Saccharomyces cerevisiae S288C: one gene and its partners. Changing the gene in region 2 together with the main gene of any one other region gives a genetic interaction. Each region holds a gene or a part of one and is shown on either strand. Other genes may lie near its edges.

Region 1 (7,252 bases), on a different chromosome or scaffold from region 2:
TGAAAAGGCTAAAATAAAATTAAGATAGTAAAGTTCACTCTTAAACTAATCAAGCATGAATAATACAAAATAAATATTTGAGCCAAAGGGGATGATTTAATTATCAAGTTTTTCTTTTCATACTTCGGTTTACAAGCATTGTTTACGGCTCTTCTTTTCTTAGTTCTTGGCAGTTTGTGTTTTCTTGATGAGAATAAGAAAAGTATCGATCTTACGGCAAAACATAAATAAAACACAACTTTATCTTTTTTTGTCGCAGTAGTGTGGTCCTACAGCTCCAAGCCTGCCGCTTTTAAAATAGTGAGCTGTGCATACTGATATATGTTCTATTTTACCCATTTGAGGGGCCTAAATTGTCTATTAATTTTTTTACTTTAATACAGTTTGTATAGAAACATGTGGCACTAACAGCTTTATCCGCCCGCAGAAAAGATAAAAAAAAAGGGTTTTTACCCGGCAAAGAAGCTTCTCCATCATTTGTCAGGGGGAAAAGAAAATTAGGAGGCTCAGGCCCTAGAAGCGCCCTCCACGCTTTTTAAACAAATGCTAATCTTCATAATTCATTATCATCGCCACTTGGCATTGCATTTAATGGGCGCCTTCCAAAAACATTCAAATAGTATCAGCCCCCCCCCAAGGAAAGGCTTTATTTGAATTGCGTTAAATATTCGATTTCTTTCTAGCAATTATTACCAAAATAAATTGCAGGCTTAACGAAAAATTAAATAATCTCTTCAGATTTTTTCACTTCCCCAAACTACATTTTAGTCAGGTTGGCACGATTCAATTGAGAAGGCTTAGGTTAAGAATAAACATTTTTTCATAAATTTGAGGAAGAAGGGGCTTTTCTGGTAATTTTCATTCAATAGAAAGGCTTAAGAAAACGTCAAAAAACTCATGCGCCTCCAGTAAAAACTAAGTGTATTAAGAGAATTGTATCACATATATACGACATTGAATTAAAGAAATAAAACTTGAACAAATAAAGTTTAGAAAAGTGGTTCTAAAAAAAAAAAAACTGTGTGCGTAACAAAAAAAATAATGTCTAGACAAGACGAAAATTCTGCTTTACTAGCGAATAATGAAAATAACAAACCATCGTATACGGGAAATGAGAACGGAGTCTACGATAATTTCAAATTATCAAAAAGTCAACTTTCGGATCTTCATAACCCTAAATCAATAAGATCATTTGTCAGATTATTTGGATATGAGTCTAACAGCCTCTTCAAATACTTGAAAACAGATAAAAATGCAGGCATTTCTCTTCCAGAAATATCAAATTATCGAAAGACAAACCGGTATAAAAATTATGGCGATAATTCACTTCCTGAAAGAATACCAAAGTCTTTTTTACAATTAGTATGGGCTGCTTTTAATGACAAAACAATGCAATTACTGACAGTCGCCGCTGTTGTTTCCTTTGTTTTAGGTCTATACGAACTATGGATGCAACCTCCACAGTATGATCCTGAAGGAAATAAAATTAAGCAAGTTGACTGGATTGAAGGGGTTGCTATCATGATTGCGGTCTTTGTGGTAGTTCTAGTGAGTGCCGCTAACGATTACCAGAAGGAGTTGCAATTTGCAAAGCTAAATAAAAAGAAGGAAAACCGTAAAATTATAGTCATAAGAAATGATCAGGAAATATTAATTTCCATTCACCACGTTTTAGTCGGTGATGTCATTTCATTACAAACCGGTGATGTTGTCCCCGCTGATTGTGTTATGATATCAGGGAAGTGTGAGGCAGATGAATCATCCATCACTGGTGAATCTAACACAATACAGAAATTTCCGGTGGATAACTCATTAAGAGATTTCAAAAAATTTAATTCTATCGATAGTCATAACCATAGCAAACCATTAGATATAGGTGACGTTAACGAAGACGGTAACAAGATTGCTGATTGTATGTTGATTTCAGGTTCCAGAATTCTCTCTGGCTTGGGCAGGGGTGTCATCACGTCCGTGGGTATAAACTCAGTTTACGGTCAAACCATGACTTCATTAAATGCCGAACCTGAAAGTACTCCATTACAGTTACATTTGAGCCAATTGGCTGATAATATATCCGTTTACGGTTGCGTGTCTGCTATAATTCTTTTCTTGGTCCTTTTCACTAGGTACTTATTTTACATAATACCTGAGGATGGCAGGTTCCATGATCTAGATCCCGCTCAAAAGGGTTCTAAATTTATGAACATTTTTATCACATCTATCACGGTTATTGTGGTGGCTGTTCCGGAAGGTTTACCATTAGCTGTAACTTTGGCCTTAGCGTTTGCAACAACAAGAATGACAAAAGACGGTAATTTAGTACGGGTTTTAAGAAGCTGTGAAACGATGGGATCTGCTACTGCAGTGTGCTCTGATAAGACTGGCACTTTGACAGAAAATGTCATGACTGTCGTTCGTGGCTTCCCGGGCAATTCTAAATTTGATGATAGTAAATCGTTGCCCGTTAGCGAACAAAGGAAGCTGAATTCTAAGAAAGTTTTTGAAGAAAATTGTTCGTCATCCTTGAGAAATGATTTATTAGCCAATATTGTCCTGAATTCTACCGCCTTCGAAAACAGAGATTATAAGAAAAACGATAAAAATACAAATGGTAGTAAAAATATGTCAAAAAATTTGAGTTTTTTAGATAAGTGTAAATCTAGATTATCGTTTTTTAAAAAAGGCAACAGGGAAGATGACGAGGATCAATTATTCAAAAATGTCAACAAGGGTAGGCAAGAACCCTTTATTGGCTCTAAAACGGAAACAGCCTTACTCAGTTTGGCAAGATTATCATTAGGATTACAACCGGGAGAATTGCAATATTTGAGAGATCAACCGATGGAAAAGTTTAATATCGAAAAAGTTGTTCAAACAATTCCGTTTGAAAGTTCTCGTAAATGGGCCGGCTTAGTGGTAAAGTACAAAGAAGGCAAAAATAAAAAACCATTTTACAGGTTTTTCATTAAAGGTGCAGCAGAAATTGTTTCCAAGAATTGTTCGTACAAGAGGAATTCAGATGATACTTTGGAAGAAATCAATGAGGACAATAAAAAAGAAACTGATGATGAAATCAAAAATCTTGCGTCCGATGCTCTCAGAGCCATAAGTGTTGCCCACAAAGATTTCTGCGAATGTGATAGCTGGCCCCCTGAACAGCTGCGTGATAAAGACTCACCAAATATAGCTGCTCTTGACTTGCTATTTAACAGTCAAAAGGGCTTAATTCTAGATGGTTTACTTGGGATTCAAGACCCTTTACGTGCAGGCGTTAGGGAGTCAGTACAACAGTGCCAACGTGCTGGTGTAACTGTGCGTATGGTTACTGGTGACAATATATTAACAGCAAAAGCAATCGCGAGGAATTGTGCGATTCTTTCTACTGATATTAGTTCAGAGGCTTATTCTGCAATGGAAGGCACTGAATTCAGAAAGTTAACGAAAAACGAACGTATAAGAATCCTGCCAAATTTAAGGGTCTTAGCAAGGTCTTCGCCTGAGGATAAAAGGTTATTAGTAGAAACATTGAAGGGGATGGGAGATGTTGTTGCGGTCACTGGCGATGGTACGAACGATGCTCCAGCTTTAAAGCTAGCTGATGTTGGTTTCTCAATGGGTATTTCCGGTACGGAGGTTGCCAGAGAGGCTTCTGACATTATTTTGATGACTGATGATTTCTCAGCTATTGTCAACGCTATTAAGTGGGGAAGATGTGTTTCAGTCTCCATAAAAAAGTTCATACAGTTTCAATTAATTGTTAATATCACCGCAGTGATTTTAACGTTCGTTTCATCCGTTGCATCTAGTGATGAAACATCAGTACTGACGGCGGTCCAACTGTTATGGATCAATCTAATCATGGATACTCTAGCAGCTTTAGCTTTAGCCACTGATAAACCCGATCCAAATATCATGGACAGAAAACCTAGGGGCCGCTCAACTTCTTTGATTTCTGTGTCAACTTGGAAAATGATTCTATCACAAGCTACATTGCAGTTGATAGTTACTTTCATTTTGCATTTTTACGGGCCAGAGTTATTCTTCAAGAAACATGAAGATGAAATAACAAGTCACCAACAGCAGCAACTGAATGCCATGACATTCAACACTTTTGTTTGGTTGCAATTTTTTACCATGTTAGTATCGAGAAAATTAGATGAAGGTGATGGTATATCAAACTGGAGAGGCAGGATTTCTGCCGCCAATTTGAATTTCTTCCAAGACTTGGGTAGAAACTATTATTTTCTCACGATCATGGCGATCATTGGCAGCTGTCAAGTTTTAATCATGTTTTTTGGTGGCGCACCATTTTCTATTGCCAGACAAACCAAATCAATGTGGATAACCGCGGTACTGTGTGGTATGTTGTCTCTAATCATGGGGGTGCTAGTGAGAATCTGCCCCGATGAAGTAGCAGTGAAGGTATTTCCGGCTGCTTTCGTTCAAAGATTCAAGTACGTATTTGGACTCGAGTTCCTCAGAAAAAACCATACTGGAAAACACGACGATGAAGAAGCGCTGTTGGAGGAATCTGATAGTCCAGAGTCCACCGCCTTTTATTAATAGACGCGCTCTATATGTTTATACAAATGTAAGTGACCAAATGAAAAGATGTGTGTAATAGTTATATTTTCAAAATTGTACACTATATTATATAATCAATAAAAAGAAACTATCTGAAATAGCATGTCCTCCTAAACAAATTCCTTTTTACCCTTTTATGCATTACAAGTGGACCAAAAGGACTGGAAATGGTAAAAAGAAATAAGAATTTAAACATGCTATAAATTTCTTTTGTTAATTGCAAATTTTTTGTTTTTATCACCGATTATGATATCATACCATCGTCAATATTCTTGGTTGATAAATAACTTTGTGCTTTTGATTTTATGCTCTCCGAAAAGTTGCTATACTCAGCAAAGAACTTATCTAGGCCTTTAAACAGACATTTCAGTTCAGAAAGTGAATCAATTCTCCCAATCAAATCCTTGTTTGTTTCATCTTTAGCCTCGTTATCAATCGCAGAGCTTAAAGATTCATCGATTGTATCCTCTAATGCTTTCAATGATGTTCTAAAATCTGTTATCGAAAGATCTGTCCCCGTGCTGGTTGTATTATTTTCTCTAACTGTCGAAATATTCGTAACGGTCCTAACTTGTTCCAGGTAATATACCACTTTTTCAATTCTCTCCTTAATCAACATTAAACTTTGCAGTTGTTGCCTCACATTGGTATTGCGATTATTTTCGTTATCTAGATCGCTTAGTTTCTCAGTTACATTATGCATTCCTGTTTCTAATGCTCTTACAGCACTTGCCAACGTATCTAAGTAATATTCAAGCTTCGATGATTTTAAGGATTCAGTAGAATACAATGAGGAATCGTTCTGTTCTGCTTCTTTGTGATACCTAGAAGATGCCCAAGTTCTTGGTAACGTTTGAGATAATTTATCCAAATTCCATATGGTGCTTTCCAACTCTTTTGTAAGGTTCTTTGTGTAAAAATCCAACCTGGTTAATAGCAATGAGGATACTGATTGCGTTTGAATCTGATCTTCGTTTAAGGCATTTGATAAGAGTATATCAACGAATGCATGGGGAACGAACTCCTCATCAAAAAACATACTCAATATATCATCATCATCACCCGTAATTGTCAACTCTACCATATTCTGCTTAGTTTGGCCTTCTTGTTCTTAGTGAATTGTTCTATTTTAGACATATTTCATATGGAAATAAAATGCATTATCACCCTCAAAGCGCATTACGCCAAGCTCATGCAGCGAAGTGAACTTTTTTGAAAAAGTTACTAGTACGAAAGAGGTTAAGGATTACTTAAGTTATACAAAGCGCAGAAGTTGTTTTTTCCAACTTCAAGCACCTCCCCATTTGATTCATCATCAGAAACGTAACAGAATTGGCTGACCTCATCGTCATTGGAAACTAAAAAGGTGGGCGTCTCAAATTCAATAGCGGGCCGTTCACTTTCTGGGTCTGAAATAATGTCAAGCTTAATACTGGTGTCGAATCCAGAAGATACAAATAAGGCTCCGGCTGCAAAGTAGACATTGTTTATTGGGGTGCCTTCATTAATTAAAAACTCACCAACTGGGCATTCCGGTGATCTTAGATCCCATTGAGCTAGCATTCCATTTTCATATCCGGCATAAATATAGTTTGCATTATTGCCATCGACTGTCAATGAATTACATGAACATGTGAACTTGCTTGGGAGTTGAATAGTTTGCTCTTTGGAAAATACATTATGTACAGTAATAACACCAGAAACGTGACCAGCAATCACATATTTTCCATATGTTCCAAACTCTAGATTATTTTTCTTGGAAGTAGAAATTTCATGTAATTGTCTGTCTGTCCCTACGAACAGCGCTATGCTGTTAACACCATCATGCGGGTTTTCTTTTCTGTTAAACGTGTGAATTGTCGTTCCTGTGCCGCACTCCCAAAGGCGAATTGTACCATCCAAAGAGGCAGAGAGCACATTCCTTCCTCGGTCTATTATGGCAATATCTGTGACTGTCGCCCTGTGTCCAATTAACGTGCGAGGATTTGAGCCGTCTTTTACTGACCAGATCTTTAATTGCATATCCTGTGAACTAGATATCAAAGCTTCACCGCTTGGAAAAAACTTTAGTTTTGTTATTTCACTAACGTGAGCTTGGTCAATTTCTCTTTGAAGGTTGAAATTTGAATCCAATACTTTAATATCGCCTTCTGTAGTGCCTAATATGAACCGTCTCATCTGAAGTTTAGCTGTGTCTACGGCAGTATAATCCGCCCTCTTGAGCATCTTTGAACCATCTCTTATGATAGTATTGAATAAAAAATCATGTCCATCCAACCGCGCCTTGTATAAGTGGGAGCCAACCTTTTCAAATGTATTTCCTTTGCCTGCATCTACACCCCTGCTATTTCCTAACACTACTATCTTATGCTCCTTGATTTCATTTAGGTTTTTGTCAACATTGATGTAAAATTCATCGTCATTTTCATCATTTTCTTCCAGAACAGCTTTAAAATCATACTGGATATGAGCAACTGTGATGGTCTTAGTCATTGTCGTTTCTATTGTACTTCGCTATTTCTTTTTACTTTCTGCTCTTAGGGTTGAAAACTTAATTTTTCGAAGCTTCTTTTGCCGATTTCTAGATTATTCGCCCATCCTGACGCCTGTAATATGTCATGTTAAAAACATCACAAAAGTTAATAAGGTTAACTGAGCCTTATTCCCA
Region 2 (5,252 bases):
TCTATAACTTGAACCCCATTTTCTCCAAATACAATCTCATGTGGTTTAAACTCATACTCCTCAAAAAAGCTTTTCTGAAACCTAACCTGACAAAGAGTAGTATCTGTCTCGTTCATTGACCAAGCAATTAACTCATTTGTTGTCACTGTAATCTTGATATCATCCTGAATTGTAGATAACACATATATCGCACGAAACCAGATATTCTGCTTCCCCGACTCGGTGATAGTTGCCTTAAATGACATATATGTCTAAGCAAAGTTATGCTGTGTTATTGTTACACTAGCAATAGTATGTCAAATAATTTTGCAAATCATCTCTGGTCTATGATTACCTTTGGCGGCCTTTGATTCATTCGCGTCATTATTAAATATGCCGTCTCTTTCGGCAAATTGAGTGCACCGCAATAATATACTATGCAGAATAAAATACTTAAATTAATTATAGTTTACGTACGTAATCGCTGTCATTGAGAATTCACGACTTCGATTTTTTTATCGTTAAATGTCAGTGCTTTGGTCTCGAAGAAATTCATTTGGTTCTGGAGAATTTTTTGCTTTCGTTTTTAGTTTGTTTTTTGACTTTGACTTTTTCCCTTTCTTCTTCTTTTTTATAACTATAACTTCTTCAGTATCACTTAAATTATCCTTTTCATCTTTTACAATAAGATTGGCCTCTAAACGACTTAATTCTAACTCGTCTTCCTTTCTAAGGTTGCCCTCTTCCTGCGATCCTCTTCCTGCGTTACTCGATTGCCCAAAATTGGAAAAATCAAAATTTTCAAGTTGAGAGTGCATTCTCAGATTAATCTTGTCCTTTTTCAAAGGATTTTGAGTTGAATGATTATCATGGGGTTTCTGGAATGCATCTTTCCTTTTGGGAGCGGCTTCGATAACAGGTTCATCGGATAAGACTTGAACCCTATTTTTCTTCTTTCCCTTCTTCTTCTTTCTGCTGATTTCAGTTGTAGATAAACTTAGAGAATTCAACGAATTATCGGTTCTATTTAATCTAATAGTTTCTGGCTTTTTATCACTACTTTCCTCCTCATTCAAGTCCAACAAATCTTTAGAGTTCTTAGTTCTTTCTTCGTCTTCTTCACCTAGATAATAAGGATTTGACATCCGTTCCTTTTCTCTCTCAATCTCAAATGGATTTTCAAAATCATCCAATTTTTCCTTTTCTTCATACGAAGTATCAGAATCATCAACGAATTTTAGTTCAACTTGCTCGTCCATTGAGATATCAGACATTAAATCACTGATGGCGTCACTTTTTTGTTCATCTAAGAGTTCATCAGCTGCCTCCTTTGTCAAAAATGGAGTTTCTAGATCAAGATTCTCATCTACTGCTAACTTCAATTGAGTCCCACGCGCAATTGGTGCGAGTTCATAGGCGTTAAAAAAACTAGGCAGGACTTCGCTCAGTAGCATTGGTAGACCTTCCGTATCCTCCTCTAAAGCCTCCAAACTTAGTCTTAAAAATTCTAAAACTTCTACGCTTCTTTCCTGGACTTCGAATGTACTCGAATAAGATAAATTTTCAAAAAATTCAATTAGCTCTTTTAACACCATTTTAATTTCAAAGCGTTTATCCTCCTGAAAGTTATTACACCAATTACTAAATACTTTAACAAGTGCTAAAATTAAAACTTCTTGTACACTATGAGAATAATAACTGATATTCTCAGTCATGATTTTTATTAAGTCGTTACCATTTTCAACTAGGGTAGAAAATTCTCCGAGACACCAAATGCATTCTCTCAATACGGTAGGCAACTGTTTGTTAATATTGTCATTTGAAATAAGCTTTATAATATTAGCAATGGTTACTTCTCTCATTGAAGGAACTTTTATCATCAAATTCCTAAACTGTTCACCAATTTTTGATCCAAGGCTTTTATCAGATATGTCTTGACAGAGCATCGCCAAGTCCATTATTACTGCATTGTACCATTCAAAGTCGTTAACACTGGAATAGTTGTCAGCTGAACAAATCGATATAATGACGTTCACCATTTTTATCTTGTAATTTTCTGGAATTATTATGGGAATTCTCTTTGATTTTTCGTATACGATGCTTCCAGTTTGTAGGATAACCACATCTTCATCTACAAATTGCTTCATCAATGTTTGGACAATTGCCTTTAAGTTATCCTCATCAACAATACCTTCAACCAATTCAATTGCTTTTGATCTTATAGAAACGTCGACATCGGAGAGTAAGCGTATAATCAGTTGGTCGAACCGAGAAATAAAATCAGTATTGATTTTGCCGATCTTGTAAAACAATATGCAGCTAATATATCTCAAATTTGGATCCTGAGAATCACAAAATGTGTGCAATCTTTCCAGGCATGCCATTGCTGTTTCAAAATCATCTTCTTCTAGCATATTCCCCTTGACAATACAGTTGACAGATTCATAGATCACAGAAGTTGCAACAGTACTCTCCATCAGTTCTAAAATTTTCGGCAATAACTTGGCTCTCAATTTCGGTTCCACTTGTGATAAGTTGGTGAATAACTTCAATAATCTAATGATTATCCAGTTATTGTCAATGGTAACTAATATCTCGTATAATAAAGGTGAAAGCTGGATGAATGGTTGGGGGTTTTTTTTTGATAGCTCGCAAATAACACTGACAGCGGCAGAAACCACAGATATATCATCATCGTCTAGCTTTGAAACAAACTTATCAAAATTATCTCTCAAAGCCTCTGGATATTGCAGAAAAACTTTAAATAGTGCGGTAATGGCCTTCTTTCTTATGTACGGTCTTGTGCTGTTTAGCATAGTGAACAAATCATCAGCTATATCTCTTGCTAATGAGGGTGTAATTATAGTGGAAAGACCACTTAAAGCAATGCCAACTTTAACAACATCATTGTTTCCGTCATACTTTAAGTCTTTTTTCAACAAGTTAGTTGCAAGCATCAAAATGTCAGAATCTTTGTAAAAAGATTGTGATGCAGCCAAATACCCCACACGTTTTTGTTGAAGTTTATTACTGCTCATAACCTCTAAGATATGAAAGTTGCACCAAGCCATGTCAAAACCGTACATCTCTAAATAGGTCAATTTAAGAACGGCATTGGTCTTAGAATTTAGATCTGGAGAGTTCACTTCTTCCCGGCATTCACTTAATACTTGTTTAAAGAATTGATCCAGTTTTTCTGGTGTTTCGTTGTGAGACCTAATACCCTTAATCAAATCCTTTAGTGATTTCTCAAAGAAAAACCCAAAAGGACGTAACCTTTGCCGAATATCCTCCGCCCCAGGTGCATATAAAGAGGTCATGACAATATGTTATGCTCTTCTGGTTGTGGCAACTGCCTTTCCCACTTCAGGTATGTTCGTATCTTCATTTTCTTTTTTTTTTCACATTGGGAGATTGCAAGGTTGTTTTTCCCAGCCTGCATACAATGATTTAATGAAGAAAATGAAAAAGAGCATTTCAATAAATGATAGTTTGTATTAAAATATTTTTCTTTTCCTATTTATTTCGTCACTCATAAAACACATGCAAGTATTAGGACCGTATTTTCTAGTTTTTCTTACTGAGGATACGGTTTAGGCTATTTAAAGGAGTGTTTCTCGTTTACAATCATGAGGTTCTCATTCATAAATACATAGTATGATATTTAAATAGATGACACTATCCTACACGCCATACTTCCAAAGCTACTATAGAAAATTTTTTGCCCTCCTTACTCAAAACTTCATTGCCATATGTTTGACAAGGGTTTGAAACACCATGGAGTAGGCCGTCATCGCATAAAAGACCATAATGACCATCACCTGCACCCATTGAAAGAAATTCAGATGTACAGTATATAGCAAATTCGTTAACTCCAGTGTAAGGATAACCTGAAAACCTCCATCTCTCCTCTTTATCCCCTTCCTCCTTACCTTCTTTACCTTCTTGCTCAGATTCTTCTTTTTCGGATATATTAACATCAGGTACTTTATCCAGCTTCCATAGAAAACATTCCCCGTTTCCTGTGTATTGCCTATGTTCGTTAGGATGAAAAGCTTCGTTGCTGTAAGCTCCAAAGATTCCGTTTTTACGATCCTTTATTACTAATACATACCCCACTCTTCTAAATTCCTTGCTATCTGGAGCAACGTTACTATACAGGGAGTGTAATGAAGACCCATGTTGCTCAAGGCTATATAGAAGGTTCCATTCGGTGTACAACTGTATCCTCGTGGGCATTAATGTTCTTATTTCATCGCACATTTCAGGAGTAAGAAGTTTATTTTTAGTTGAGGGCAAGTAGCCATTCAATCTCACCGGTGGTAGAGAGCCCTCCTCAACTATAGTTCTCTCGGATGTCGTTTTATTTCGAAAGGGGTTATGGGAATCTTTTAATTGAGGTGAAGATTCACTTGCCGTTGTGTAAGCAGTGGAATCAGAAGAATCTGTGCCTGCAATGGAACGTTTAATCTTGAATATAGCATCCTTGACTCCAAACATTGTCGCTCCTCACTGAATAATGAATGGCTGGAAATCAGTTGTCAAATTGAATAATTTAGGAGGCAAAAAAGCACTTCGTTTATTGTTTCCTTCTTTTTTATAACAGGCTTTCATACTGCCATTGTTGAAAGTATATCCGTGATCGAACCGCGCGGAACTAACTACAGGGATACTCCTATGTGAGATTCTCTAGCTGTACGTGAGTGAAAACTCAACTACGTATAGAAGCAAAGCAATATGCGCTATTGTTCCAGTCAATTATTCTATTACGAGTCCGGTCATATATATGAAGAGAAATATTATTTATTATACATTGAGATTATTGCCACACGGAATAATGTTAGTTCATAGCCTTAACCAATTTATTGATGAATTCTTCACGGTTACCGAAAGAACCACCTTGGATGAAATGCTTGAACTTTCTTGGGACACCCCAACCACCAGATGGGTTGGACAACTTGAATGGCCACAAAAAGTTGTTAGCTTGCTTGAAGTGTGGACCAACAGTGATGATTTCGTGAATCAAATCGTCAATGGACAAGATACCATACTTACCCAAGTTGGCTTCGATGATAGCATTGTCGGACAATGGAACTCTTTGCTTGTTGATCTTACCGAAACCTCTCTTGTAGACCAATTGTCTAATAGTAGAGTAGGATGGGTAACCGTAAGCAACGTATGGTTCAATCAACTTCAATAGTTCCAAAGTAGCCTTGGTAACTTTGACGAATGTACCAGAGTTGATTCTTGTCAATCTTAGCAATTGTAGAACC
Region 3 (9,237 bases), on a different chromosome or scaffold from region 2:
TTGAAATAGTCGCTAGGCTCTAGAACAGGTTTTTTCTTTGTGATGATACCACCCATCGACCAAGATACAGTGTCTACTTTGTAGTTGCGTTCCAGAATGGCACTTAACAAGTGTTGACCAGTATGTTGTTGCATATAATCCATTCTCTTTTGCTCGTCCACGGCCACTTCCACTGTTGTTCCGGGCTCAATGTAGTCATTGACATGATGCTTTGCATGTAAACCGAAACGAGAAACGTGTGAAACTAATATCTTCTCAATTTTCGACGAATTACGATTCCCTTCAACAATTTTCAAAAAACCAGAATCACTTGGTTGGCCCCCACCTTCGGGGAACAGAATAGTATCTTGTAGTTCAATCTCATAACCTTCAATCTCTCCCTTTTTATTCTTCGTTGGTTCGCAAGAAACAACCAGTGTTTTGAACCCATCGAAGAGAAATGAGTTCCTCTGGCAGGCTAAAGCGCCGACCTTGACAGGCGTCATAGGTGTGGGCATGATAACTTACCTTTTAATCAATTTTTGACGCTGTTGTGTGCTTTCGTCGATATGCGTCACCAGGATGTCTATTCTTAAGTTTTTTTTACACGATAAGGATAAAAAATAAAAAGATGTTAATGATGGGTGGTTGGTTCTTTTACTAATGAAAAGTGTAAGCATATTTCGTACAAATTGCTTGCAATAAGTCACTTGTACAAAAGTAAACTGATATAAACGTCTTCCTAGTGGGCTGAATTTCAGAATTTACGCGAGTGATACATGAATTTACTGATAATCGATGGTATTCGTTATTTGATAAGGTGGTATTATTGAATATACAGAATGCATTATATGCGCTCATTGAGGATATAATAGTCATGACAGGAAATCAATGTCCTACGTAATAACACTATTATTTCTTCCTTTGCATTGCACGTTGTTATGCATTACTCTGTTACATCATCAGTTCTTGTATTTCGGCTTTTACTAGATTTGAGATTGTATCTCATGGCTTATGTCACTTTCTTACATTGTGTGTGATAGGTATACTAGTAACATGGCCACTAGTCAATAAGCAACGGTCAATTCTTATTCCAGCAGTTCTTAATATGCATGGAATTAGTGAAGAATAGGAGCCGATAACTTTACTTGTGCATTTGTATTAAATTTACGTCCTTCTTATTTATTTCGTCCACGTACGTTACTACCCTTTTTCCAGTAATTTTTCTTTAACTTGAAATGGTCTTGTAACTCCTATTACATTCCGGTGCCATATCAAGAGTAGCCTGGTAATATAGAAAAATTCCAGTAGCTTAACAAGAGCCTATTTTTAATCAAAAATGCCGGAGCAAAAAGCCAACTGTTCACCAAACGGTAACATAACAGTTGATAGTATGATTATGTCGCTAGGATCTTCTTAAAGGATAACACGAATTACGAAACCAATAGAGGGATATTAGAAGGATCAGCTGAAACCTAAAGATCAATAATATAACAGGATTATAAGTGACAACATATAGTATTAAAGAAACAAACCGCTATATGATTGCATGTATTACCACCTCTCTTTTGTTGATACGCATATCCCTGAGGAAAACTCTCAGCACATTCCATATACGAGGGAAAAATTGGATTTCAAAAACTGGTATCTAATCCTACCGATGCGTATGTTAGTCGAAATCTATAAGTAAATTGTTAATGATTGCTTTCTGTTCGTTTATACTTCCATTTTACTTATATATCACCTGCCGTCTCAGACGACAAAATACATACAACTGGCGTAATGACGCTTTCATACAAAATATACATCTAAGGTAGTAATTCATTCTAGTAAATATTCATCCGAAAGCTGTAGTATCTGAAGTATATTGTACATTATCGTAACAAAATCCCCAGTGAAGTTTACTCACAATGGATTTCGTTGTAGACTATCAGACCTACGCAATGGCGGATACTGCCACGCCAGAATTACCAGAACCTGAGCCAAGACTAAACTTAACCTCAGATGCACAGTCACAGCCCACCGGTAAACTAGATCTACAGTTTAAGTTGCCCGACCTTCAACGTTATTCCAATAATAATGCAACTTTGCCAGTAGATAATGATGGTGCTGGTTCGAAAGACCTACATAAGAAAATGACACATTACGCAATGTCTTCCATTGATAAAATACAGCTTTCAAATCCAAGCAAACAATTAGGGCAAAATTCCCAGGATGAAAAACTATCGCAGCAAGAATCTCAAAATTTCACGAATTACGAGCCAAAAAACCTTGATTTATCAAAATTAGTATCCCCGTCAAGTGGTTCCAACAAAAATACCACAAATTTGGTTCTTTCGAATAAACTATCCAAGATATTGAACAATTACACATTGATTAACTATCAGGCCACAGTCCAACTAAGAAAATCCCTAAAGGTTCTAGAAGAGAATAAAGAGAGATTGTCCCTTGATGAACAAAAGCTCATGAATCCTGAATATGTAGGTACTTTGGCAAGAAGAGCATTGAGGACTGATTTGGAATCTCAACTGCTAAAGGAACATATTACGGTACTTGAGGAATTCAAACCTATCATTAGAAGGATTAAACGATTATCTTCTTCCGTCGAAAAAATACAAAGAACGAGCGAAAAATTACTAAGTAATGAGACAAATGAGGTTCCAACAAATAACGTGGTACTTCAGGAAATAGATCAATACCGTTTAAAGGCAGAGCAGTTGAAGCTGAAAAAAAAAATACTGTTATCTATAAGGGATAGGTTTACTTTGAATCAGGTAGAGGACGATGTAATCACCAATGGTACTATAGACAACATCTTTTTCGAGGTAGTAAAGAAAGTAATCAATATTAAAGATGAATCAAGTTTCTTGCTGACGCTTCCTAATTTGAATGCTGGAAATGCTTTGATAATGGGAGTTAATGAAATTTTAGAAAAGACAAACAAAAAAATCTTCAATTATTTGATCGATTTTTTATATAGTTTTGAATCCTCTTCAAATTTATTAAATGACCATGGTACTACTGAACAAGAAAGCTTAAACATTTTTCGGAAGAGTCTGGTCTTCCTGTCAAGTGATCTAGAATTATTTAATGAGTTGTTGAAAAGAGTGACCACACTGAGATCCAAGAGTATTCTGGATGAGTTTTTGTCTCAATTCGATATGAATTCAACTACCTCTAAACCCATCATATTATCGGCACACGATCCAATTAGGTATATTGGTGACGTACTAGCGTCCGTTCATTCCATCATCGCAAATGAAGCTGATTTCGTGAAGTCACTATTTGACTTTCAGGATGAAGACTTAAAAGATACCCCAATTTCTATACTTCAACAAAACAAGACATTCTTGAAAGGCATCGACAACAAATTGCTGAACGATATCATCCAGTCGCTATCCAATTCGTGTCGTATTCGTATCGAGCAAATCGTGAGGTTTGAAGAAAATCCGATCATCAATTTCGAGATTGTGAGGCTGCTGAAACTTTACAGAGTTATGTTCGAGAGAAAGGGAATTCAGGACGATAGTTCTATTATTAACAATTTAAAGTCGTTGGAAGACATTTCCAAAAACAGAATTATTGGATACTATGAAGACTATATGAAGCAAACAGTCATGGCGGAAACAAAAAATTCTTCAGATGATTTACTGCCACCAGAGTGGCTATCAGAGTATATGAATAAATTGGTAGAGTTATTTGAAATTTATGAAAAGACACATGCTGCCGAAGATGAGGAATCAGAAGATAATAAATTGCTCTCATCTAAGAATTTACAAACAATTGTAGAACAACCAATAAAAGATGTTCTGTTAAAACAATTGCAAACATCTTTTCCTTTGGCGAAAAAAAATGAAAAAGAAAAGGCATCATTGCTAACTATAGAGATAAACTGTTTCGATTTAATTAAATCTAGACTTCAACCTTTTGAGGGATTGTTTGCACAAGATGATGACAGCCGGAAAATCACCATCTGGGTTTGTGATAAACTGAAGGAATATACTAAGCAAATGCTAACTTTACAAATAAAATTCCTATTTGAGAATACAGGTTTAGACCTTTACAGCAATTTGGTCAATATGATTTTTCCTGTGGACTCAGTAAAGGATGAATTGGATTATGATATGTACTTAGCCCTGAGGGATAATTCATTGATGGAATTAGACATGGTCAGAAAAAATGTGCATGATAAGTTGAACTATTATCTACCTCAGGCGTTAACAGATGTTCAAGGTAATTTACTATTTAAATTAACGTCACCAATGATAGCTGATGAAATATGCGATGAATGTTTCAAGAAGTTGTCGCTATTTTATAATATCTTCAGGAAACTGTTGATTCATTTGTATCCGAACAAGAAGGATCAGGTATTCGAAATTTTAAATTTTTCCACTGATGAATTTGACATGTTGATAGGTATTGATCACTGAGAGATGAACAACTTCTGTTTAAAATCGTCTCACAAAGACGCATCTTGCCCATAATGTAGCGATGCTCTATATCTCAAATATTTGTTACCTTTTTTATGTTGGTATGCGGCGGGTATCTATATAATATATGGGTGTATACATACGTAGGGGGAACATCAAAAAGAAAATAATGATCACTCAAGTACTATTTAAAATCTTGCCTACAGAATTATCCTTTGTGATGGTTCTTACGGGGCTTTCGTTTCTACTACTGCTTTCACTGCATGTTCTGTCATCCAAGTCATCGTGTACTTGACGTCCTTCACGAACCGATTGCAGCATATTTGGTTGTTCCTTCATATTGGATTCAATTGGTTTGTCATGTGAGGTAAGTGCTACGGACACGTTAGAATGTATAGGGGATGGTGATCTCTGTACTTGTTTTTCTTTTGCTTCATCGATAATACTTAAATCGATCACTCCAAAGGAGGATGTGGATCTTGCACGCCTATGCTTTTTTTGAACCATTCCAGGTTTCCTTGGTATAGTATGTAAATTGTGCGTGTGGAGATCCTGTTGCTGTTGTGGAGGAGGAGGCAGTGGTTGAGATAGCGGCTGCTGTTGGTCTCTATTGAAACTTAGTATGGATGTCATTGTAGAAGGAATATTAGGATTGGTGAACTTTCCTATTGGAAGTGACAAGTTACGGCTGTGAAGAGAAGTCGGCTTCTTGTTTAAAGGCGATTCTTGAGATTTTGTACCAGAGGGAATTCGCCTAGCCACATCTTCCTCCTTAATGGAAATATTGTCATTCAACGCAGCAACTGCGGATGCACCTATTCTTGCAGGAGAATTAGCTCTTCGTTGTACATTTGTAACTGTGGAGTGTGATATACCGCCGGTAGAGGATGATGCTGGAAACTTATATGGAGAGGGCTGTCGACTCATTGGAGTTGGTGACACTGTGTTCATATTTAGAGGTTTTAATGACTTCATAGAACCATTCAATCTGGGCAGATTTTCTGAAGATTGCGTGCCTTCTGTATTGTTATGTGGTTGATTGCCCCCTGCCTTCATCGGCGAAGACGCCGGTACGCCATGGTCGGTGTTGAATAGTTTATGTATTTGATTTATGGGCAGACCTGAACTGGAAGCAAGCTTAAACAACTCTATCGAACGATTCAAGTTTTCAAGTTTATAATATTGCTGCTTAGTCTTTTCTTGTTCTATTTTCAAATCCATAGCTTTCATTAAAGCATTCTCAGAAAAAGCCCATTCCGATACATTAGTACCAAATATTATATCTAACAGCGATTTGCTCTTGTTGACATTATTATGACTATTATCATTGCTTTCCTTTGGCTGGCTGTAACTGTTGAAAGTACTCATTGGTCGCCTGTGCTCACAGATGGTTGCAAGTTTTCCATGTAATGTAATTTGCTACTTATTTTCCTACTGCACGCGCAAGTTTTCTCGTTGACTGTTATTAAGAAACAAATGAACAAACAACAACTGCACTAGAAGAGCAACAAGACTAGTTTCCGCTTTCCTTCTCTTTTTCTTTTTTAAAAAAGCCAATACTGCATTTGCAGCTTACTGAAGAGGCCAAAAGAAACAAGGCTTGATGATAGTCAGTAATCTTCCTCTGGACCTCTTCGCCGAGTTCTTCGAGAAGTTCCCAATAAGGTAATCGAAACGAGAGAAAAAAAGACGAGCAAAAAATTTTCTCAATTTGCCTACTTTTAAGGGTTCGGAGAGGAAGGTTTATTTGTAAATCATGACATTATTGGGCGAAGCGTAAGTGGCTTTGAAGAAGAGGAATAGCTACTCGACCAAAACTTGAAGATACTATCATACCCAACTTGGAGCGCTCAGTGACTAGTCTGCCTTTAGTGCTGTCCTGCCTCCCGTCATGCCAAGAGCCGTACTCTCCCCTTAAGGGCTGCTATTTTTTTCCGGTAGGTGTTCGGAATCCCCTTTCGAGAAAAGTAATTAATCCGAGAATTCCTTATATTTCTTACCAGAAATAGTAAGCGAAAAGGACGTTGAACTATAGCAGATCAGCGCGTCTTCATAATCCCAGAAGGAGGCGGGAAGAACAACCCCCCCCATATAGTTTTACTGGTCTCCTTTCAATCTGTTTGTTCTGAACCTACTTTCATTCTTTTGGCAGATATATGTTGCAACACGTACATAGAGTGAGTTTACTTCTTTCAGCTTGGAGAAGCATGAGAGGTTAGGTTGATTGATGCTAAACAAAAAAATTCCGCCCTGATGGTGAAAAAAGATAACGGGGCGAGCTGGGAATTGAACCCAGGGCCTCTCGCATGCTTTGTCTTCCTGTTTAGGCAGGAAGTCGCCCAAAGCGAGAATCATACCACTAGACCACACGCCCGATTATTTCGTGTGGTTGTTGTATTACGGGCTCGAGTAATACCGGAGTGTCTTGACAATCCTAATATAAACAGTCTTAGGGAAGTAACCAGTTGTCAAAACGGTTTATCAGATTAATTCACGGAATGTTACTTATCTTATATATTATATAAAATATGAATCATACTAAGTGGTGGAAGCGCGGAATCTCGGATCTAAACTAATTGTTCAGGCATTTATACTTTGGGTAGTTCAGCTAGGGAAGGTCGGGTTTTGTCTCATGTTGTTCGTTTTGTTATAAGGTTGTTTCATATGTGTTTTATGAACGTTCAGGGTGACGTATTGTCATACTGACATATCTCATTTTGAGATACAACAGTGGTTGTGTCATGAAGTTAGTCAATACTAGCCGTCTTAACAATATTAATACCTGTCAGAAGAGCAGCTTGATTGACGGAATGTTACTTATCCCATATAATCTATATAGGATCTAAATCTGACTAAAGGGTGGAAGCATAGATCTTCGGAGCTAAACTGATTGCTCAACTATTTATACGTTTAGGTTCATCAAGGCAACCGGGGCTTTGAAAATACTTAATCTTGTTTTTTTCGCAACAACTGTTTCATACGTGTTTCATACGTCTTGTACGTTTAGGTTGATGAATCTGGTGATGCAGGGGTATTTCATTTTGAAGTGTAGTAGAGGTCTTCTAATGAAAACTCGGCAGGGCCCTAAGCTCAAACTCTACCTCATCTACGTTGACCCTTTTTACCTTCTAGATGCCATCAGTTGTTAATAGTAGTAATGGAATACGATTTGCCAATCAATCTTACAATCGCATATAATTCGTCACTGTTGAATATCTGCGACGTACACCATCTAATCACTTCGCTTAGTCGATATAACCATTTGTTTGAAAAGATGAATTGATTCTAATCTTGCCTCTCTCGGGTTATGTTATTATTATTTTTACGTTTTGGCACGTGAATCTTCAGTAATTGATTGCACGCTTGATAAACGAAAAAAACATAAACAAATAAGGTAAGACTGCATTGTAAATCCTAGGAATGAGAAAGAACAGAGAAGCTAACTGCAATTATGAATGGTGTCTGTATACAATTAAATACTAATGTTGACGGAGAAAGAGAATAAAAGACAAGAATTAACTAAATATTGAAGAAGAGTAAAATACACAATAGAAAAGAATGACTCCTTTTCCCAACACTTGTAGGAGTGTTCAAACAGTTTCTTCATCAAATACAGTTTCGATGGGTTTTTCCATCAATGATGCATGTCCGAAAACGCTGACGGCAGAAGCACCGATCAACCATAGCAAAGTTGAGATTGGCGAAGCTAAGAAACCTATTGGCACAGCAACACAAACCAGTCCGGTGTATAGTTGGTTGGTCTTGAAAGAACCAAATGGAGTTACGAGCTCCTCACCCTTTAGTTTGTTTATACCAACAATACCAGCTACGACTAGAACAATAACAAAGAGTAGCAACAAGTTTGTTAATAATGTGTAAATGCTCAAACAACCAATAATCAAACCATAGTTACTGGAAAAGTACTTCAGGTTATACGCCACTCTGGATTGAACTTCCCCAAAGTTTTGAGGTTTGGAAATTTTCTTGAAATTGAAAAATTCTTGCGGGGTGCGAAGGGTTGCTAATTTAGATTGCAAGGATTGGAACTCGCTCTTAATATTTTCCATGGAGAAGTTTTGAGTGAAACGTGAAACTTGCTATAGAAATATAGAAAAAAGGTTAACGCGTTAGTATAGTTTTTCAATGATGCAAATGTGTTTACAATTTAGAACTTACGGCTAAAGCTCCTAACTGATTCATTATTGGAGTATTTGATGTTATTTTATGCGTATTTGACGGCTGATAGTTCCAAACTCAGTGTTCAAAGCCCTGCAATATTGAATTCAATCTGAATTCTTTCGATTTGTATTTATATTCGTTGTTATTATTTATTTTTTCTTTTTGCCTCGATTGCATGTGACAAAAGTGCAAAATTCGTATCGCACGACACAGAACTCCGCCACTAATTAGAACCAGAGAAGTAGCAATGAAGGCTCATTAGTAGGTTATATTTAATTGTTTACGTATTCATGTTACGACACGTCCCTTTTCAAAGACCTAAATCTTGTTTCACAAGAGCTTTACAGATTGGATGATACGTGTCCTTGAATTTGTCGAAAGTTGCAAGTGCCAATCGACGGTCTACAGAGTTTAATAGTCTGTAACCGGGACGGACAAACTTCATTCTACCTACAGTTCCCAACCAATCGGCCAAATGCTTATATTCTTCTTGCAGCTTGGCAAAGATCTGAAATTTGAACATCTTGAAAACAACTTCCGCGTTCTGTGATTTAACAATGTTATCTTGATAGATATCTAACAGTGCCCTAGATGCCACGGGAAACTTGGCCCAGTCAAAATCTTTTGGTTTCTTGTTGGAATGGCCATT

Evidence for each region. A genetic interaction does not mean that the proteins touch.
Region 1: mutations in APL5 (region 2) and COG7 together harm fitness more than expected from each alone (negative genetic interaction), as found in Saccharomyces cerevisiae (4 studies listed by BioGRID).
Region 3: mutations in APL5 (region 2) and COG6 together harm fitness more than expected from each alone (negative genetic interaction), as found in Saccharomyces cerevisiae (6 studies listed by BioGRID).

Annotation. Positions count from the first base shown.
Region 1 is NC_001139.9:484,880-492,131, forward strand, and holds COG7 (Golgi transport complex subunit COG7), read right to left. Parts: upstream 5,669-7,252; coding exon 4,829-5,668; downstream 1-4,828. Other genes in the region: YGL006W-A (uncharacterized protein), read left to right, coding at 544-654; calcium-transporting ATPase PMC1, read left to right, coding at 1,042-4,563; RPN14 (Rpn14p), read right to left, coding at 5,824-7,077. UniProt on the Saccharomyces cerevisiae protein: Acts as a component of the peripheral membrane COG complex that is involved in intra-Golgi protein trafficking.
Region 2 is NC_001148.4:174,270-179,521, reverse strand, and holds APL5 (Apl5p), read right to left. Parts: upstream 3,300-5,252; coding exon 501-3,299; downstream 1-500. Other genes in the region: DDC1 (Ddc1p), read right to left, coding at 1-245; OXR1 (Oxr1p), read right to left, coding at 3,658-4,479; 60S ribosomal protein uL30 RPL7B, read right to left, coding at 4,820-5,252. UniProt on the Saccharomyces cerevisiae protein: Part of the AP-3 complex, an adaptor-related complex which is not clathrin-associated. The complex is associated with the Golgi region as well as more peripheral structures.
Region 3 is NC_001146.8:544,640-553,876, reverse strand, and holds COG6 (Golgi transport complex subunit COG6), read left to right. Parts: upstream 1-1,889; coding exon 1,890-4,409; downstream 4,410-9,237. Other genes in the region: YNL040W (putative alanine--tRNA ligase), read right to left, coding at 1-497; YNL040C-A (uncharacterized protein), read left to right, coding at 1,319-1,399; BOP3 (Bop3p), read right to left, coding at 4,587-5,777; YNL042W-B (uncharacterized protein), read right to left, coding at 6,507-6,764; YIP3 (Yip3p), read right to left, coding at 8,000-8,506, 8,586-8,609; LAP2 (bifunctional aminopeptidase/epoxide hydrolase), read right to left, coding at 8,899-9,237. UniProt on the Saccharomyces cerevisiae protein: Acts as a component of the peripheral membrane COG complex that is involved in intra-Golgi protein trafficking.